2 linked regions of the Notamacropus eugenii genome follow. The protein of the gene in region 2 purifies or fractionates together with the protein of the main gene of each other region. This does not show direct contact. Links are inferred from orthologs where the notes say so. Each region holds a gene or a part of one and is shown on either strand. Other genes may lie near its edges.

The links. The genes of interacting proteins can lie anywhere in the genome.
Region 1: the proteins of USP15 (region 2) and RNF40 purify together in Homo sapiens (affinity purification with mass spectrometry; 4 studies listed by BioGRID and IntAct, with this or other methods). This does not show direct contact. The link is inferred for Notamacropus eugenii from reciprocal best matches to the Homo sapiens genes USP15 and RNF40.

The regions. Positions count from the first base shown.
Region 1 is NC_092874.1:377,895,236-377,903,139, forward strand, and holds the start of RNF40 (E3 ubiquitin-protein ligase BRE1B), read right to left. Parts: upstream 3,017-7,904; 5' UTR 2,885-3,016; intron 2,784-2,884; 5' UTR 2,559-2,783; intron 2,474-2,558; exon of another isoform or gene 2,433-2,473; 5' UTR 2,431-2,432; coding exon 2,299-2,430; intron 1,473-2,298; coding exon 1,305-1,472; intron 1,038-1,304; coding exon 896-1,037; intron 635-895; coding exon 428-634; intron 225-427; coding exon 103-224; intron 15-102; coding exon 1-14. Other genes in the region: CFAP119 (cilia- and flagella-associated protein 119), read left to right, coding at 3,232-3,441, 3,763-3,794, 4,068-4,133, 4,352-4,521, 5,327-5,397, 5,601-5,717, 5,831-5,891, 5,981-6,064 and 1 more; PHKG2 (phosphorylase b kinase gamma catalytic chain, liver/testis isoform), read right to left, coding at 6,967-7,251, 7,465-7,590, 7,686-7,839.
Region 2 is NC_092874.1:239,034,093-239,041,988, reverse strand, and holds the start of USP15 (ubiquitin carboxyl-terminal hydrolase 15), read right to left. Parts: upstream 3,004-7,896; 5' UTR 2,893-3,003; coding exon 2,804-2,892; intron 1-2,803. UniProt on the Homo sapiens protein: Hydrolase that removes conjugated ubiquitin from target proteins and regulates various pathways such as the TGF-beta receptor signaling, NF-kappa-B and RNF41/NRDP1-PRKN pathways.

The DNA.
Region 1 (7,904 bases), about 140 Mb from region 2:
TGGAGTTCTGAGTACTGTGGAGGTGAAGTAGCAAGGGGTGGGCTGAGTGTTCTCTTATCTCCTTCCCACATTCATCCAAGTGCCCCATGTCAGCAGTCTTACTTCCAGAGAGATTCGGTGGTGCTTTTCCTGCAGTTGGGTGGTCAAGTCCTGTAGTCGCCTGTTGTCTTGTCCAAGTTCCCTGGTTAAAGCTCTAAGTCCTTCTCCGAGGGACTCACACTCCCCTGGAAAGGTAGGGACCAATGAGAGGACAATGGCAACCAGAAGAAAAAGCTAGCAGCAGGAAATTACATGACAAACTAAAGGTTCCTAGAAGGAACTGGGGAACATGTGTAATAAATAGGTCTGCTATGGGCATCTGCAGTCAAATAAAAGCTGATATGCCTCAGTTCTGAACAGGGAAGGGGCTGAGTGCTCCTGGGTTCACCTCTGCTGTGGACTCGATGGCACAGTTCTTCTACTCGACGATGCAGTCGGTCTGAGGCCTCAACTACTCTGGACACTGCTGCCTTGGAGAACTCCATTCGGCCCTGGAGCTGAAGTTCTACCTCTTCGCTACTGCTGGCCCCCAGGGCTGCCACAAAAGCCAAAGCTGGCTCGCTCAGGGGGGGCCGAAGCTGGAGGGTGGGAAGATCTGAAACAGAGATCCAAATAAGATTGTTATATTTGACATGGGTATGCAATAGGGTGTGAAGAGCAATAATGAAAAGGAGAAATGAGAAGCAGGATCTTGCAGAAAGTGTAGTGAGGTGAATCAAAACCCTACCATAACTCCTAACAAATGGGCTTTTTATTGATAACTAACATTTATATGTCACTTTAAAACCTGTACAGTCTCCACTCTGCTTATCACTTTCTCCACAATTTTTCACTATCTCTCCCCTGCTGGTCTCACCTCTTCTGTCTGTGGTTCCTGGTTCAGGCAGAGGGGTCCCATCAAGTTCAGTGCCATCTTGAGCTCCTGGTTCCTCTATCCTAGATAGTAATTCTCCTCGTCCCTCATGCCGTCGGAGTAGAACCTCTACAGTTTCATCCAGCTGTGAGGGTGTCACAAGAGAACATGACTTTTCTGGAGGCTTCAATGGCAAAAATACCTTTCCCCAAAGGGGGACGATGAAAACTCTGAAGCAGAAGTTTAAAAAGATTTCAAGGAAGAAAAAACTGGGGACTGGCGCAGGGTCTGAGGTAGAAGGAACAAGAAAATGAAGACGCATAGCCTAGAAGAGGGAAGGGGATTGATTCTAGGGTTCTGGACTAGCTAAACTTAGGCAAAAAGGCAGGAATCATGGTTGATGGAGACATACCTGGGCCCAATAGCGGTTGACAATGAGCAATGTAGCATCATCGGTGGCCTGGCGCTTTTCTAGCTTTTCAATTCGCTCCCTCAATTCATCTTCACACGCCTGTCGTTGTTCCAGTCGCTCTGCCAACTTTTTGTTCTTGAACTGTAGCACTTTCAGGTCCATCTCCTCCTGTAGAAGGCAGAGTGAGTAAAAGAACATAAGAAAAAAGTGAGAAAGGCTGTAATAAAATGTTAAGAAAAAGAGAAATGGAAAGCAAGGCCCCATAGAAAGTATGGTGAGTCAAAATCTCATTGTAACTTCTAACAAGGGGGCCCCTAATATTGACAACCGAATTTAAACAGCACCCGACAGTTTGTAAAGTGCTTTACATATGATCTTTTAAACTACGTAACAGTCTTGCAAAGTGGGCATTACAAATTTCCCACAAGGGGAAAGTGAGGCTAGAGAAATTGTGACTTGTATCAGAGGCGAGATTCTGAACCATGTCTTCCTGACTCAAAGTCTAGCCTTCTATCAACAAAGCATTAAAAATATTAGTGAAAACATATCAACAAAAAACATCTAGCCATAAAAGTGAGTGAGTCTCTACTGGGTTGGAAGGATAACAGAGGGACAGCTGGAGTGCCACAGTGGCTCTCCCCAAACACTCAAGGAACAAGCAGACCTTCAGTGTTTTGGGCAGGTTTCCCCGCAGAACGTTTACATAAAGTCAGAGACAAGAACTGGAAAAGATGAGAGACGGGTAGACAGACTGTGATCTCTTCTCGGGAGGATGAGATCAGACTTGGATAGGTCCAATTACCTAAATGAGGACAACGCGGGGGCTTTCCTTGTGAGTTAACCTCGCTTTACAGAGCACCCTGAAGCTCCGAGGGCACATAACTGACTTGGCCACGGTCAGGGTTCCAAATACAGTGGGTCTGGGGGGGATGGCGGGGGTGAGGCGTGGGAAGCGGGGTAAGGGTGCGCAGCAGGGGGGAGGGGCCGCACTGACCGTGGAGGAGATGCCTCCCAGGCGGATGGGCTCGATAAGGGTGGTCGTGGTCTTCTCCTCCCGATTCTGCTTCTTCTCCGAGGGGCCCGAGCCCCCATCCCCGGCTGCGCGCTTGTTGCCGGCCCCAGACATGGCTGGAAAGGAGGAGGGCGACCAGAGGCGGCTCCCCCTTCACCTGAGGGAGAGGCGGGGCCCGGGGAGGCTCAGGATCCCAGTGGGGGCGGGGAGGCCCGGCTCCTTCCCGGCTCCTTCCTACCTACCTCCTCCCAGGGAGGATTCAGTTTCTCCAGGCAGCTGCCCAGGTGGCCGGCGGCCTCCTTCCTCCGGTCCTGGCCCCCGACGGTCTCAGGAGACCCCTCACCTGTCCCAGGTTCGGCCGAACGCCGCCATGATGTACGTCACCGGATGTCGCATCGAATGCCTCCAAAGCGCGCAGGCGCCGACGAGTGGGAGGGCACGTAGCTAAATTTGTCTGCTTTCTTCTCCTATTGGTCAGAGACTCATTTAGAACCGCCTCCTGCCTCCGGAACGCTTTCTTACCCAGCAGCCCATCCTCTTCTCCTTGATTGGTGAAACGACCACGTACCATGGCAACCGTCTCCATGCCGCCTTGCCCCTGTCCCGGTAACTCCACCCTCCTCTTTATTGGTAGTAGTGAGGAGACCGCTCATATTCGCGGCGGAAGATACTGCGCTTGCGCAGCATTTCCTCATTTATTGGTCCGCTCTTCCCGCTTGTCACGCCTTTACCCCCGCCCTCGAGCCGCCTTAGCAACCACTGACCCCAGCAACGACGCTTCCCACGGATTGGCTGAACAAGACTATGTCTTGATCTCGATTGGCTGACATGTTCCCACAGAGGGCAGGGCCTCCATGCTCGGACCCGTAGCTTAGGCCCGAAGGCATACAAGGCGGAGGAACAGCGGGTGGCACGATGAAACGAAGAAAATCTAGCGGAGTTTCCGAACTAAATTCTGAACCGGGATTGGGGTTGGACCCGAATTCTGAGGGGTTGCCGGACGCGGCCCCGGATCTGAACCAGGAAGCAGAACTGAATTTGGAGATGGAGAGAGAGCCAAATGGAGAGCCCGAGCCGGAACCTGAAAGAGAGAGCCCCGAGGAGCCGGGCGCCAACCTGCTGCCGGTGAGGGCGGAGCGCGCTTGTTTCTCCCGGAGGCCCAGCCGGAGGTGTATTACCTGAGCTTTCCCGGGGGCGGTACCCCCCTCCTGGGATCCCGGGGAGCGGGTCGGGTCGGCCTTTAGGACTTCAGCCCAGTCTTTGCGAAGAACCGCAGAAAGGACCCATGTCCTCCGTGCACTTCCCGCCGCGTCCCTGGGAAGGTGGGGCGGCCTGTGAACCGCAGGGGAGCTCTCGCGCCCGGGCGGCCTAACCGAGCCACCCGAGAGCGGAGATCCCCAGGCCGCTAACGTAGCAGCGTTGTCACACAACCCTCTTTCTTCGCAGCCGCCACTTCCTGAGCCCCGGATCTGCTTGTGGTGAGCTCGGGGCTGGGCCTGGGCCTGCGGGTGGGGCTGGGCTAGGTGTGGGTAGGGGTGTGAGCAGCGTGGGGTCAGCAGGGAATGGGCCTTAGGATTCTCCTAGTCCAGCGGCTTCATTTTTCAGATAAGGAAAAGGCCCTGAGAGGGCCAAGCAGAAAGCTGATAAAATTTAGGACTAGGGCTCTTGACTCTCAATCCAACTGGCACATGGTGGATTCCTCTTCCTAGCTACCTTCCAACTACCTCCCTTTTTTTCTTTTCCAATGGCAGGAAATACCTGGATGTACATTCTATGGACCTACTGGAGAAAACCACCACCTTGGAAGAGATGCAGGAGTACGGGCTAAGTGAATAAGAGGGTTCAGAAATAGATTACTTCAGAGGTCCTCCCCACCCCAATAATCTGTTTCTTTGAATGGATGAGGAAAACAGGGAGGGAGGGCGCTCACAGGAGGAGGAAAGATACTTTCCTAGGAATACAGGATGGGGTGACTGAAAAGGATCTTTTACTCCTCAACTGGTTGCTCTCTACCCTCACCTTAATCCACCCCAAGGTTGCTGGCAGAACTGCTAGGCCTGGGGCTGACAGACAGGAGCCCAAGGGAGGCAGTGCTACTGGATATGTTTTGCCACACCTTGATCTTCTGCCGGCAACAGCGTTTTTCTCAGGAGCAGACCTCAGCAGCTTGCGCTCTGCTTCAGGACCTCCACAAGGCCTGTGTTGGTGAGTTGGTGAGACCCCCTGGGAGAAGGGCCTTGCAAGGATTCGTCACATCCAGGCTGAGAAAGGTGGGTGGGAGGGGAGAGCCTGAGGTAGGCAAGGTCAGTGATGAGCACCAAATAGTGCTTGCTTGGTCCTGGCTGAGCAACTGTAGTAGTAGTAAGGGCGAGGGTGAGGCTGTCCCGGTGCAGCAGTGAAATGAGCTAGTAACCCCAGAAGCCGTGTCTCTTATTTATCCTGTAGCTATCATTCTGTACATGTTGTCTCCATTAGGTTGCGAGCTTCTTGAGGGTAGAGACTGTTTTTGTGCTCCTCGGTGCCACGGTGCCTGGCACATAGTAGACACTTAATGCTTGTTTGATTTGACTTATGAACATGGTTAACAGTAGAATATTGGGAGGGATCTCAAGAATTTTACTTCAACCTTTTGTAGAAGAGCAAATGGGCTGGGGAGGGGGGCGGACAGAGAGAAATCTCATTTATTCCAGGTGACAGTGACAGGTAGTAGCGAATAGAAATATAATAGCCTTGGAACCAAGAAGCCCTGGGTTCAAGAGTTACCTCTGATACAGACCGACACTGAACAAGTAACCTAAATTCTAACTTCTCAGTTTCTAGGCAACTCTTTTAAGAAGTTGCAGAGAAAGTGCCATCTTGCATAAACAGGGGGTTACCTCATTCCAGAGTTCCATCTATCATTAAGAGTTAAGAGGCCCAGTCCTTATTCCTATAACCTAGGTCATTTTATTCCTTTCTTTCCACATGATTAAGGGAGTTATCACTGTCACTCATTTCTCCTTCTCCACAGCAACTCCCTTGGGCAACGTGGAAGACTGTTTCCGATTTTTCACCAGCCTCCTCTTCTGCCATGGAGTCAGGGTCAGTCCCAATACAGAGGAAATGAGGACTCTGAAGAATTTAAAACATCCCCATCCAATGCTCCATCCTGTAGAATTTTTTATTTCCTTCCTTAACTACCTCAAGTCCTAGGAGGCCAAAGCTATAGTACTTTCTTCCTTTCTTTGTTCTGAAGGTTCTGTAAGAAAAAGAACCAAGCTATATATTCCTACCCTTTCCCACAGCGGCCCCCCTTCAGCATTGACCTATTTGGAGAGGAACAGCTGCTGAGTCTATCAGATTATATCATCAACACCTACTTCCGTCATTTTAAGCTCTACAAGTATGTCTTCACCCCCCAGGTACTGGTCCCACAGGATACACGAAACTTTCCAGTCTATTCCTTCTCATTTCTCTATCTTAACATAGTTGTCATTCCTCTCTCCCTCCTCTCGAACTCCCTCTGCTCTCCCAGGTGCGGTTAGACTTGTCTTTGCGATATATAGGTCTGCCTGAAGTAAAGCCCCCAGCAGATGGTAAGAAGGGTGGAGATTAAACTAGGCCTGGGAAGAGGGTTGGGAAGTATGCCATGGGGCTCATGGCTCCACTCCCTTTCATCTTTCAGTACAAGAGGAAGAAAAGGTAGTGGAGACGGTGTTACCTGTTCCCGAAGAGCCAGAACCAGAAATAAAAACCGAGCAAGAGCCAAGTAAGCAATCAAGGGGCACCTGTTTCCCTAAGCCCTCCCTGGGAAACTGTTCTGTCTTATCCTGTAGAAAAAAATGTCTTCTGCTCCCATTCTTTCTAGGTGGGCTTCCTTCTAGCCAAAGGGAGCTCCTTAAGGACTAAATTGAGAATACTGAATTGAGAACAGTGTATTTCCTACCTCTCATGACATTCCCTGATAAGGCACTGTGATACACCATGCATGAATCCTCTCTCCTCACAATGTGGGACTGAGGTTCTCTTATGTAAAAGGTTCCTTTGGCTCAAGTTTGAACCACTTTTTCAACAACCCCAGGTCCAGGCGATATACTCCGGGATTTCATCACAGCCCAGCTTACCCATGAGCTAGGACAGCTCAGGCAGTTGGTGGAGGAACGGCTGAAGGCTGGCGAGGAGCAGCTCAATAGCAGGCTGGTTGCCCTTGAGAATCCTACCTTGGTCTCCAAGAGTAAAAGCAAAGCCAAGTCACCCCTGGGGTATTTACCCAAATAAAAGCCTGGGCCAGAAGTACCCTGTTCCTTCCCCCAGGTCCCCTTTTGAGCACCTTCTCACTCCATCTTGAGACACAGCTTGTTTCCCAGTGTGCAGGATGATTTATTTCACATGAAAAATGGACAGCAACAGCAAAGATGTGAATATCATTCTCAGCTGGTCCCTTTTCCTTCCATTCAAGTCCTGTAGTCCTGAGCAACAGGGATGGGGGCACAGAGTTGGTCCCCTTTCCAGTAGCATCATCATCAGAGAGCACAAGAGAAGGGAAGAATGCCTTCGGCCAGAGTCCAAGGTGACCGAGTTGATTGAAGCTCTCAGATTGGGAAATCTGTCCTTCCCAAGGCTCTCGGGCTGGGAAGCAGACTTCTGGGGGCTCCACGATGGAGGTCTTAACTACGCAACAACAGATTCATCGTCAGTGTTGGTTGGATCTCCCTCCTCTTCTGGATTGTAGCCCAGGTATGGGCCAGGAGGCCGGTGTTGGAAGAGGGCAGCCCTGTTCTGTTGCTCGCCCTTCTTTACCCAGTGTCCATAGAGGCGGAAGGCACAACTGTCAATGAGTTGCCTCACTGGTCGGAGCCCATATGGGTCTCCTAATAGAGCTCCCTTGCTCATTGGCCTTACCCTGCGACTGCTCAGGGCTACTCGGCCTGCAGCCAACACTGTCCATACTGCTACCTGAGAGGAAAGAAAACCACAAGAAAAACAAGATCACGGACACACTAAAAGTATGAGTTGAGATTTCTGAAGATAGTTGAGTCCCAGCGAAAACAATGTCATCTCTTATCACCTAGGTCCAAGGGAAGGGTAAAGTGAGGTAGATGTGTGGTAGTAGTGGGTTTTGTTTTCCCAGGAACCTCTGTCTTGTAATATCTGCTCTCTGTTCCTTACCCTGAATCGCTGGATGGGAGAAAGGCTCCAGGCCTGGCTACCCTCACAGCGTTGGAAGAAGGGATGCTGCAGGGCCTGCTCTGCAGTCAGTCTTTCCTCAGGATCCACCTGGAGTAGCCTTGAGATCTAAGAGAGGGGTAGGGGCCATGAGACACTTCTTCTCCTGACTCCTGAACTACTACTGCATTTCCCCCACCCCTTTGAGCCTTTGATTTACTCACCAGGTCTTTGACAGTTGCTGATCGGTCATCCCATTCTGGTGACCTGAACTGGTATCGGCCCTCCATTATCATTCTTAGCATCAGGATCTGGCGTCGATGCCAGAATGGGGGAGAGCCAGCCAGGAGTGTGAACAGGATCACCCCACAGGCCCAGCTGTGAAGGGAAGACCACCAGGTTCAGATGGGGATGGGGAATGAAATGGGAGAGAAAAGACCAAT
Region 2 (7,896 bases):
TTGTCTACAAACCTGTAGACAAGATCTCCCCCCCCCATAGGAAACCTTAATCAGGGGTTTGAAAAGTGCTATATAATATGTTATCTCATTTGATCCTCAAAATAACTCTGTAAGCCAGGTGCTATTATTATCCTCATTTTACAGAAGAGGAAATTAAGGCTGAGAGAGGTTAAGTGATCCATTTAGGGTCAACAGCTAGCTTCTGAGGCAAGATTTGAACTGTTTAAAAGAAAAATATCACTTTAATTTAAAAACAATGAACCATGTTACATTTCAATTTAAAAACAAAAACTGATTAATACTACTACATTATCATTAAAAAAAAGCAAAACTCTTTTTTCAGTACTTGGCCAGATTTCCTCTGCTAGACTACAGTTAGAATATAGCCCCCATTTATAAATCAGTCAGGTCTCCCAATATCTACCACAACATATACAATTTCAGCCCCTTTTTGCTTTTCTTTAATTAAAAGTGAAAAATGATGCAATTCATTTACTGCATGATCGAATTTACCTCTAATACCACATCTTGGCCTCACATTCCTCAGTGGTAATATAAAAGGAGTTGGACTACATGATCTCTAAAATTCTTTCCTATTCTAAACCTCTATATATAAGGAGAAAATGTTCTCAGTAACTTTATCATAAAGCAAAAGCTTAACAATTATAACCTTTAAATAAAAATGGGCACATGCATGACAATAGGTATACTGCTCCTAATAAGTGTCATAGATTTCTGACTACAGTATTAAAGCACCTGCACTTTCATTTGTGTACATGTTTCTTCTACCAATCAAAGACTGCAATTCCTTCATGAGTTCAGAAATTGGCTTCATGAATTGCTGTAGCAAAAATTCATCACACTTGGCCAATCTGGCAAGAAGCCTCTGTGAGCTTAGCTAGGTTGATCTTTGGTCTCTACTAGATTTTATCATTAAATGACATTACTAAAAAAGCTGAGGTAAAATTTCAAACCTTGATACACTAGCTTCTGTTTCAAAGCCTAAATTTTCATTATAAGGCAATGTCTTCTTTAACACACAGTAGGACAATTACTGACCACATACTGAAAGAACCATTGCGCCAAGGTTAAACCTGAGTAATCCAGATATGCTCTATTTCTCCAATGATCGGTAAACTTCACACAAGAAGATGAACTATAGAGATTACTAAGAGGCATTAAAACTTGCTTCTTCTTTGTTGTAATCTCACAATTCATTTAAATGTTGAAGGTACATGCCCCATTAAAGTACACAGCTGGTCAGCCAATAAACATTTATTAGGCACCTAACCCAGGCTCTTGGCACTCTGCAGAAGCTACTGAGAAGAAACTACAGCAACTGAGGAAAACAAAATCATTCACTCAGCCCTACAAAATAATGACTTCCAGAAGGCAGGCAATAAGCATTTTTTAAAAAGCACTCACTATGTGCTAAGGACTGAGGATACAAATCCAACCATAAGTCAAGACAGGCTTTGACATTAATGCTTAATTTTCTTCAAACTTTAAATAAAAATCAATCAGAAAAAAAAGCTTTTGTACACTAGCTCCTTGAATTTAGATCGTCTTTTCCTGCATGTAATGCTTATCGATGTGCCTGGAACACAACTGGCTATTAAAGTTTATAAGGGCTTCCTGGATTACTCAGCAAGACCTGAATTCGAGTCTGCCCTCAGATACTTCCTATCTGGGTCCTTAACCCGTCTGTCGGAGTTCCCTCATCTGTAAAATGGGAATAGTAACAGCACCTTCCTCCCAGGGTTGTTATGAAGTTCCAGTAAGATAATAATTGTAACGTGCTTAGTACAATGCCTGACGTCCTTGGTATATAAATGGTACCTATAGTTATGATTACTGACTAAATAAAGCAACCCTTCTTACACATAGCCACATTTACACTTTTAGCTTATTTAGCAGATAAATGTTATTTCGTTTGCTCCAGCACTTAGTACAGTACGTCGAACCACAGCAGGAGCTCAATAAATGCTTACCAACTGATTGACTGTTTGGGGATATGAAAAATTCCACTCCTTGGGATGGAATCACCTGCCTACCTTAGTTGGGTTCTTAAGTAATCTAACTCTAGAGCTTTACCCATACCATCAGCAAGTGAGTTCATCTCCCACGGACTTATCTTTTTTTTGCAGGGCTCTCTTATCCCCTGAGTCAGGAAGGTACGGGCTGAAATTCAAAGCGAACGCCCCCCCCACCCCCCTTCACCGCTGCTCCTGCTGCATGACAAGCTCCCTGGGAAGCCCGAGACCACGTGGGGCCTCCACGATCCCGACTCCGCACTACTCCTCTGACAAGGACCGGGAAACTAGGGGCTCCTTCCCCTCCGGCGGAGCCCCGACCCATGCCACCTGTGCGGCCTGCAGCCTGTCCGGCCCGGAAGGATGCGAGGCTCACCAGACAGGCAAACTTGGCGGTCGGTCCAAGGGGAGGAAACGACGGAAAGAAAGGAAGAGAAGCTCCGGATCCGGGCCGGATGGGACCTGTCCACCCACGCCCCTTCCCTGTCCTCCGCAGGGTCTCACCGGATGAGGGCCCGAGGCTGGGAGCGGCTCGGGAGGGCGGGACGCAGGCAGCAGCAGCCCCCACCCCCCCTCGCGACCTCACACCTCCAGCCTACCCTCTGACCTCCCCGCCACCCCCCCACCAGCGCTCCACGGTCCCCGATCTGACCTGCCCCCCGCCCCCCGCACCTGTCACTCAGCAAAGACACCAGCCCCGGCGCTTCCCGCCCGGCTCCCCCCCAGCAGCCGCGGGCGCCTCAGTCCCCGCCCCGCCCCGTCCCCCTCACCAGGTGTCCCCTTTCCGGAGCGAGGTTTTGAGCAGCGTAGCGATGTCGGACTGCTGGGTGTCCAGATCCGCCGCTCCTCCCTCCGCCATCTTCTTCCACTAGCGGCAGCGGAGGAGGCGGCGACGGCGGCAGCGGCGGCGGTACCGGCGGCAGCAGCGGCGGCGGCAGCGGCGGCGGCGGCACCGCCCCGGAGCATTGTGGGAACACGGCGTCCCGCGGCCCCGCCCCGCCGCCGGGTCGGCAACCTAGAGAGACGTAATGGGGGAGGGGAGGATAGGAGGGGGAGGGAGGAGGCGGAGGAGAGCTTGGCCGGGGAGCGCGCGGGCGTCCTTTGCTGCCCCCTAACGGCCAGTGCCGAGGGCAGCAGCGACAGCACCACCACCTTGAACTTCATTGGCTCTTCCCAGTGCGTAAATGCTGCCTCTCCGCGGTCCGCCACTGGGAGCCCCTGCACTCTCGTTTTATTCGTGGCCCAGTACCGCCCGATCCTCCTCGCTTTCGGCGCCGGTGTCTTCCCTCCCTTCTCTCTCCAGGGACCAGATGTGCGCGAAACCTTATTTTCATGACAACTCTAACGTAATAGGGTGTGTATGTATGTGTGTGTGCGCCTGCGCGTGTCTGTGGCCAGGTGTGTGCAAAACATGACAACTTTGGCTCATAGAAATTGTATGTACGTATGTGTTTGTACTCGTGCCAGTGGCCAGATGTGTGTGAAACATGACAACTCTGAGTTAATAGGGGTTTTGTGTGTGCTCGTATGTGTATGCGCGCCAGTGGCCAGATGTGCAGGATACGTGACTTTAATAGGGGTTGTGTGAATGTGTGGTGTGTATGCACGCCAGTAGCCAGATGTGTGTGAAATGACTGCCTTGAAAGGGTGCGTGTGTGTCTATGAGTGTACGGAGCCAGTGGACAGATGTATGGCAAACATGACAGCTCTAACTTAATAGCAGTTGTCTGCATATGTGTGTATACCCACGCCAATGACCGATGCGTGCGAAACATGACAACTCTAGCTTAATTGGAATTGTGTATGTACGTATGCGCACACAGATGGCCAGATGTACGCGAAACTTTATTTACCTGACAACTTTGGCTGTAGTGTGTGTGTGTGTGTGTGTGTGTGTGTGTGTGTGTGTGTGTGTACATATCTGTACCTGTGCAGGCAGAAGAGCAGCTAAAATATTGCATGACAATTTCATTAGCTTCTTGACTCATGGGTTTGTATCGCAAATACTCTTTGCCTAAGCTACTTGAAACCCAGCTGGAGCAAAAGAGCATTGGAAATTAAAACCCTTGACCATAATGCCGGAACTGGTCGCTCTTCAACTCTCTCCCTCTACCTTCCTACTGGCACCAACTTGTGTGCTATGTAGGGACGGTAATAGGATTCCTTTAAATGATATATCCATCCTCTCGTTCCCCCCAAGTAGACCCCAAACAGCTATAGAAAGCATTTGGCTGCTTCCTTGCGAATGAAACGTTTGACCTACAATAAATTTTGCGCAGATTTTAAAGGTAATAAAAGAAACCCGCATTTACCCTCATGTCAGTGGAGAGTATACCCATTATCGAATAATTAAAAAAGATTTTAAAAATCATTAGATCTGAGGATTTGGCTAATTGAAATCCAAGTAAATTCAGCTATTTTAGCAAAAGATCCAGGGTGGGAATAGAACACAATTGCATCCTTAAAAAAAAATCCAAGGGCTTTGCTAAATGGAATTTTATAAAACTACTCCGAGAGAATCCCCTTTACAGTAAGATGAAGCAATCAGACCATCCAATATGTTGCCTTGGTTATAGGGTCAAGTTGATACTGATAAATAGCAAAGTGATTACCCTAGTTTCACTATCTGTAAATAAAGGCTATATTGTTTTTTAAATATTTTTCAGGGATATGGCTAAGCAAGGTTAATAACATAATTTTAGTGAAACATTTGATTGTAGAAGATCCAGAATATTAGTTTCTTCCATTAAAAATTCTATACTTCTTAACGTAAAATTTGGCAGGTTTCAGACCAAGCCAGAAAAGCTTTTAAGTGTGGATGGGCCAGATTGACTAGATGTCATCTGAGAAACAGCTCAGCTAAGTTTGGAGAAGCTCATCAAAAAAGGATTGGTCACCAAGGGATACTTTTTCTTTTGCTCCAGCAACTCATGAAATTCTTTTAAATATATTAGATGGTTGGGGTCTATGGGACTGGAGAGTGGTTATATCCACACTGATGAAATCTTATCTTTTTTTTTTTTTTGCTCAGTGACCTCACTTCTTACCTAATAATGGGAATTTTCCCCATTGAGCTACCTCTGATTTGAGAGCATAAAAGCACTTTCTAGTCTTTAATTTAGATACTAGAAAAGTAAGTAGGTCCCCAAGTGACTCAGTAGCAAAAAGAAAAAAGTAAAATAAACTAACAGTTTTAACTGTTGACCTCTTCAAAGAATGATGTCCCCACTATTTGTCAGCTCTAGGAAATATGTAAAGTGAAGTGAGATTCTAGAATTTTTTTTGTTTGCTTTTTTATGGTCACCAATGACAACATTTGTTCACTGGATCAACAAACTTTTAGTAAACACCTATTGTGTTCATAGTGCTGGTCTAGCTACTGGGGGAGATAACAAAGTTTATATTAAAAATGGTCTTTGATGCTCTGGAGTGGTTTCATATGGGGATTATACAGACTGAGATACTTACAATTCATTATATTCTACATTAAGTACATTTGAAAAGTATAAAATGAAATATTATGTGAGGTACTTGGGAAAAGGTTCTTACAAAGACAGCTTGGAGTAGTGGTAAGCATACGGACTTGAGAGTCAAGAGAAATGTGTTCAAATCCCCAAGGATAAATCACTTAGCCAGACTTTAAACTGGGAACCTGAGGACTTCACTTCAAATCTCAGTTCTGACATTTACTACTTTCATGACCTTGGGCAAGCCACTGCCTCCCTTTGATCCTGAGTTTTCTTATCTGTAAAATGTGGTATACACAAAGGTCCTTTCCAGCTTTAAATCTATGATCATATGACCTCTTTCTTCATATCCAAAATAGAAATACCTATATAAGGTGAGTTGCACAAAGCATGGCCAGATATTCTGTGTCTAGTTTTGATTGGCCCACTTTGGGACTATTTCCAGATGTATTGACTCATTGCTGAAAGAACTTGCTGTTTTGGTATGATGTGGAAAACCCTGAGTGGTCCTTTTGTCTTCTACTCCTTCTCCAAAATAGCAAGGGATTGAGGTGCAACATCTGTTAAAAGAAATAGCTTCTAGATTGTCCATCTTTGACCATGATGGGTCAAGGTGTAACTCCACTGCGGGGTGGGGAAAGGACAAGGTCATCTACTCCCTACCAACATGGTGATCCCAACAACATGGAAGCTGGTGCTTGGAGGACCCAACTACGTGAGTTTGCTCCTGGGCCTCTGGCAGCCCCTGCCTCTCTTGTGTTTCCTTCTTAGAACAGGTGATTTTATGAGATCAAGATGAGACAGTGGCATCTGAATTGTTCACTCTATCAGGTGGGGAGGACCATTCCATGCCACAGAATATCACCAAGTGCTTTTACCAAAGGGTCAACCTAAGGCCACAAGCAGCTGCAAAGCACCACAGGGTCAACTAGAGGCATGCAGAAAATATCTGTTCTCATTCTGCATAATCCATGTTACATTTGTGTTACCTGCCTCATGAGGTTGCTGTAAGGGTCAAATGGGGCAATGTGTATGAAATGTGTAGTGAACTTCATATGCAATGTGTATTAAAAATACTCTTGTAAATGTTAGGTATTTCCTTCTTCATATGGCCTGGTACGTAGCACTGTGCCTTGTATATATTAGGCACTTAATACATGTTAATAGAATTGAATTGAATTAAATAAGACAACAAAATATGATGTTGGACACTGGAGAAAAAGCAGAAACATTTATATTTTTCTTCTGTTTTCTGTACCAATAAAAATTATCTTCAGACTTGGAAAAATAGATCAAAACCTATTAGTAGAGAGTCTAGAACCAAGATGGATAAGATCATATTTGGCAGGCCTCAGTGAGTTCAGATCACCTGGATGAGGTGAACTTTCACCCAAGGGATGTATGATGCAGTGTAAAGACCACTGATTTTGGAGTCACCAGACCTGAATTTGGATGCTAGCTGTAATTCTTACTACCTGTATGACCTTGCACAAATCACTTAACCTTTCTGGGGTTGAATTTCCTCATTTGTAAAATGGGGGAGTTGGACTCAGCTCTATGATCCTATAGAGAGGAAATGGCTTGAGGGAAGGGTAGGGAAAGGAAAAGTGTAGGGGAGAGTGTGAGAGAGGAAAGTAATCCAATTGGGTCTAAATTTAGAACAGAGGTGTTAGTAAGGAGGCCTACCCACAGGTTAAAATGTAACTGGGAAATATTTAACAAAATAAAAATACAATAGAATATTGATAATGTTAATATGTGGTTTTGTAAGGCAATATGCGGCCTTATATTTGGTTTCATGAGTTTGACATTGATGGCTTATGGATAGTATAAAAGTTGGAAGGACAGAGTGATATCAAATTGGAAAGAGCTTTGAATCAAAAAGATTTTAAACTTAAACTTGTAGGAATAGGGAGCCACTGAAGATTTTTGATCAGTGAAATGATTTAAGTAGTTCTACTCCTAAGCAAGATTATTCTGGCAACAGTATTCATTTATTCAGCAATTGTTTAACTGGAATAAACGAGATACCATATATAAAGTGTTTTGCAAATCCCCAAAATACTATATAAATGCTGGCTATTGTTGCAGCTACTGTTACTGCTACTATTATTACGACTAGAAGGTTTGTCATTTCCTTCTTCGGCTCATTTTATAGATGAAGAAACTGAAGCAAACAGGATTAAGTGATTTGCCCAGAGTCACACAGTTAAGTGTCTGAGGCCAGATTTGAATTCAGGTCGTCTGACTCCAGGTCAAGTATTTTATCCACTGAATCACCTATATGCCTGTTTGCTATGCCACCTAACTCCGCGTCCTCCCTTCTCCCCCCAATAATTCTTATGAGATGAAAAGAAAGGCAAATAGCCCATGAAGATGTTGAAATGTTTTGAGGA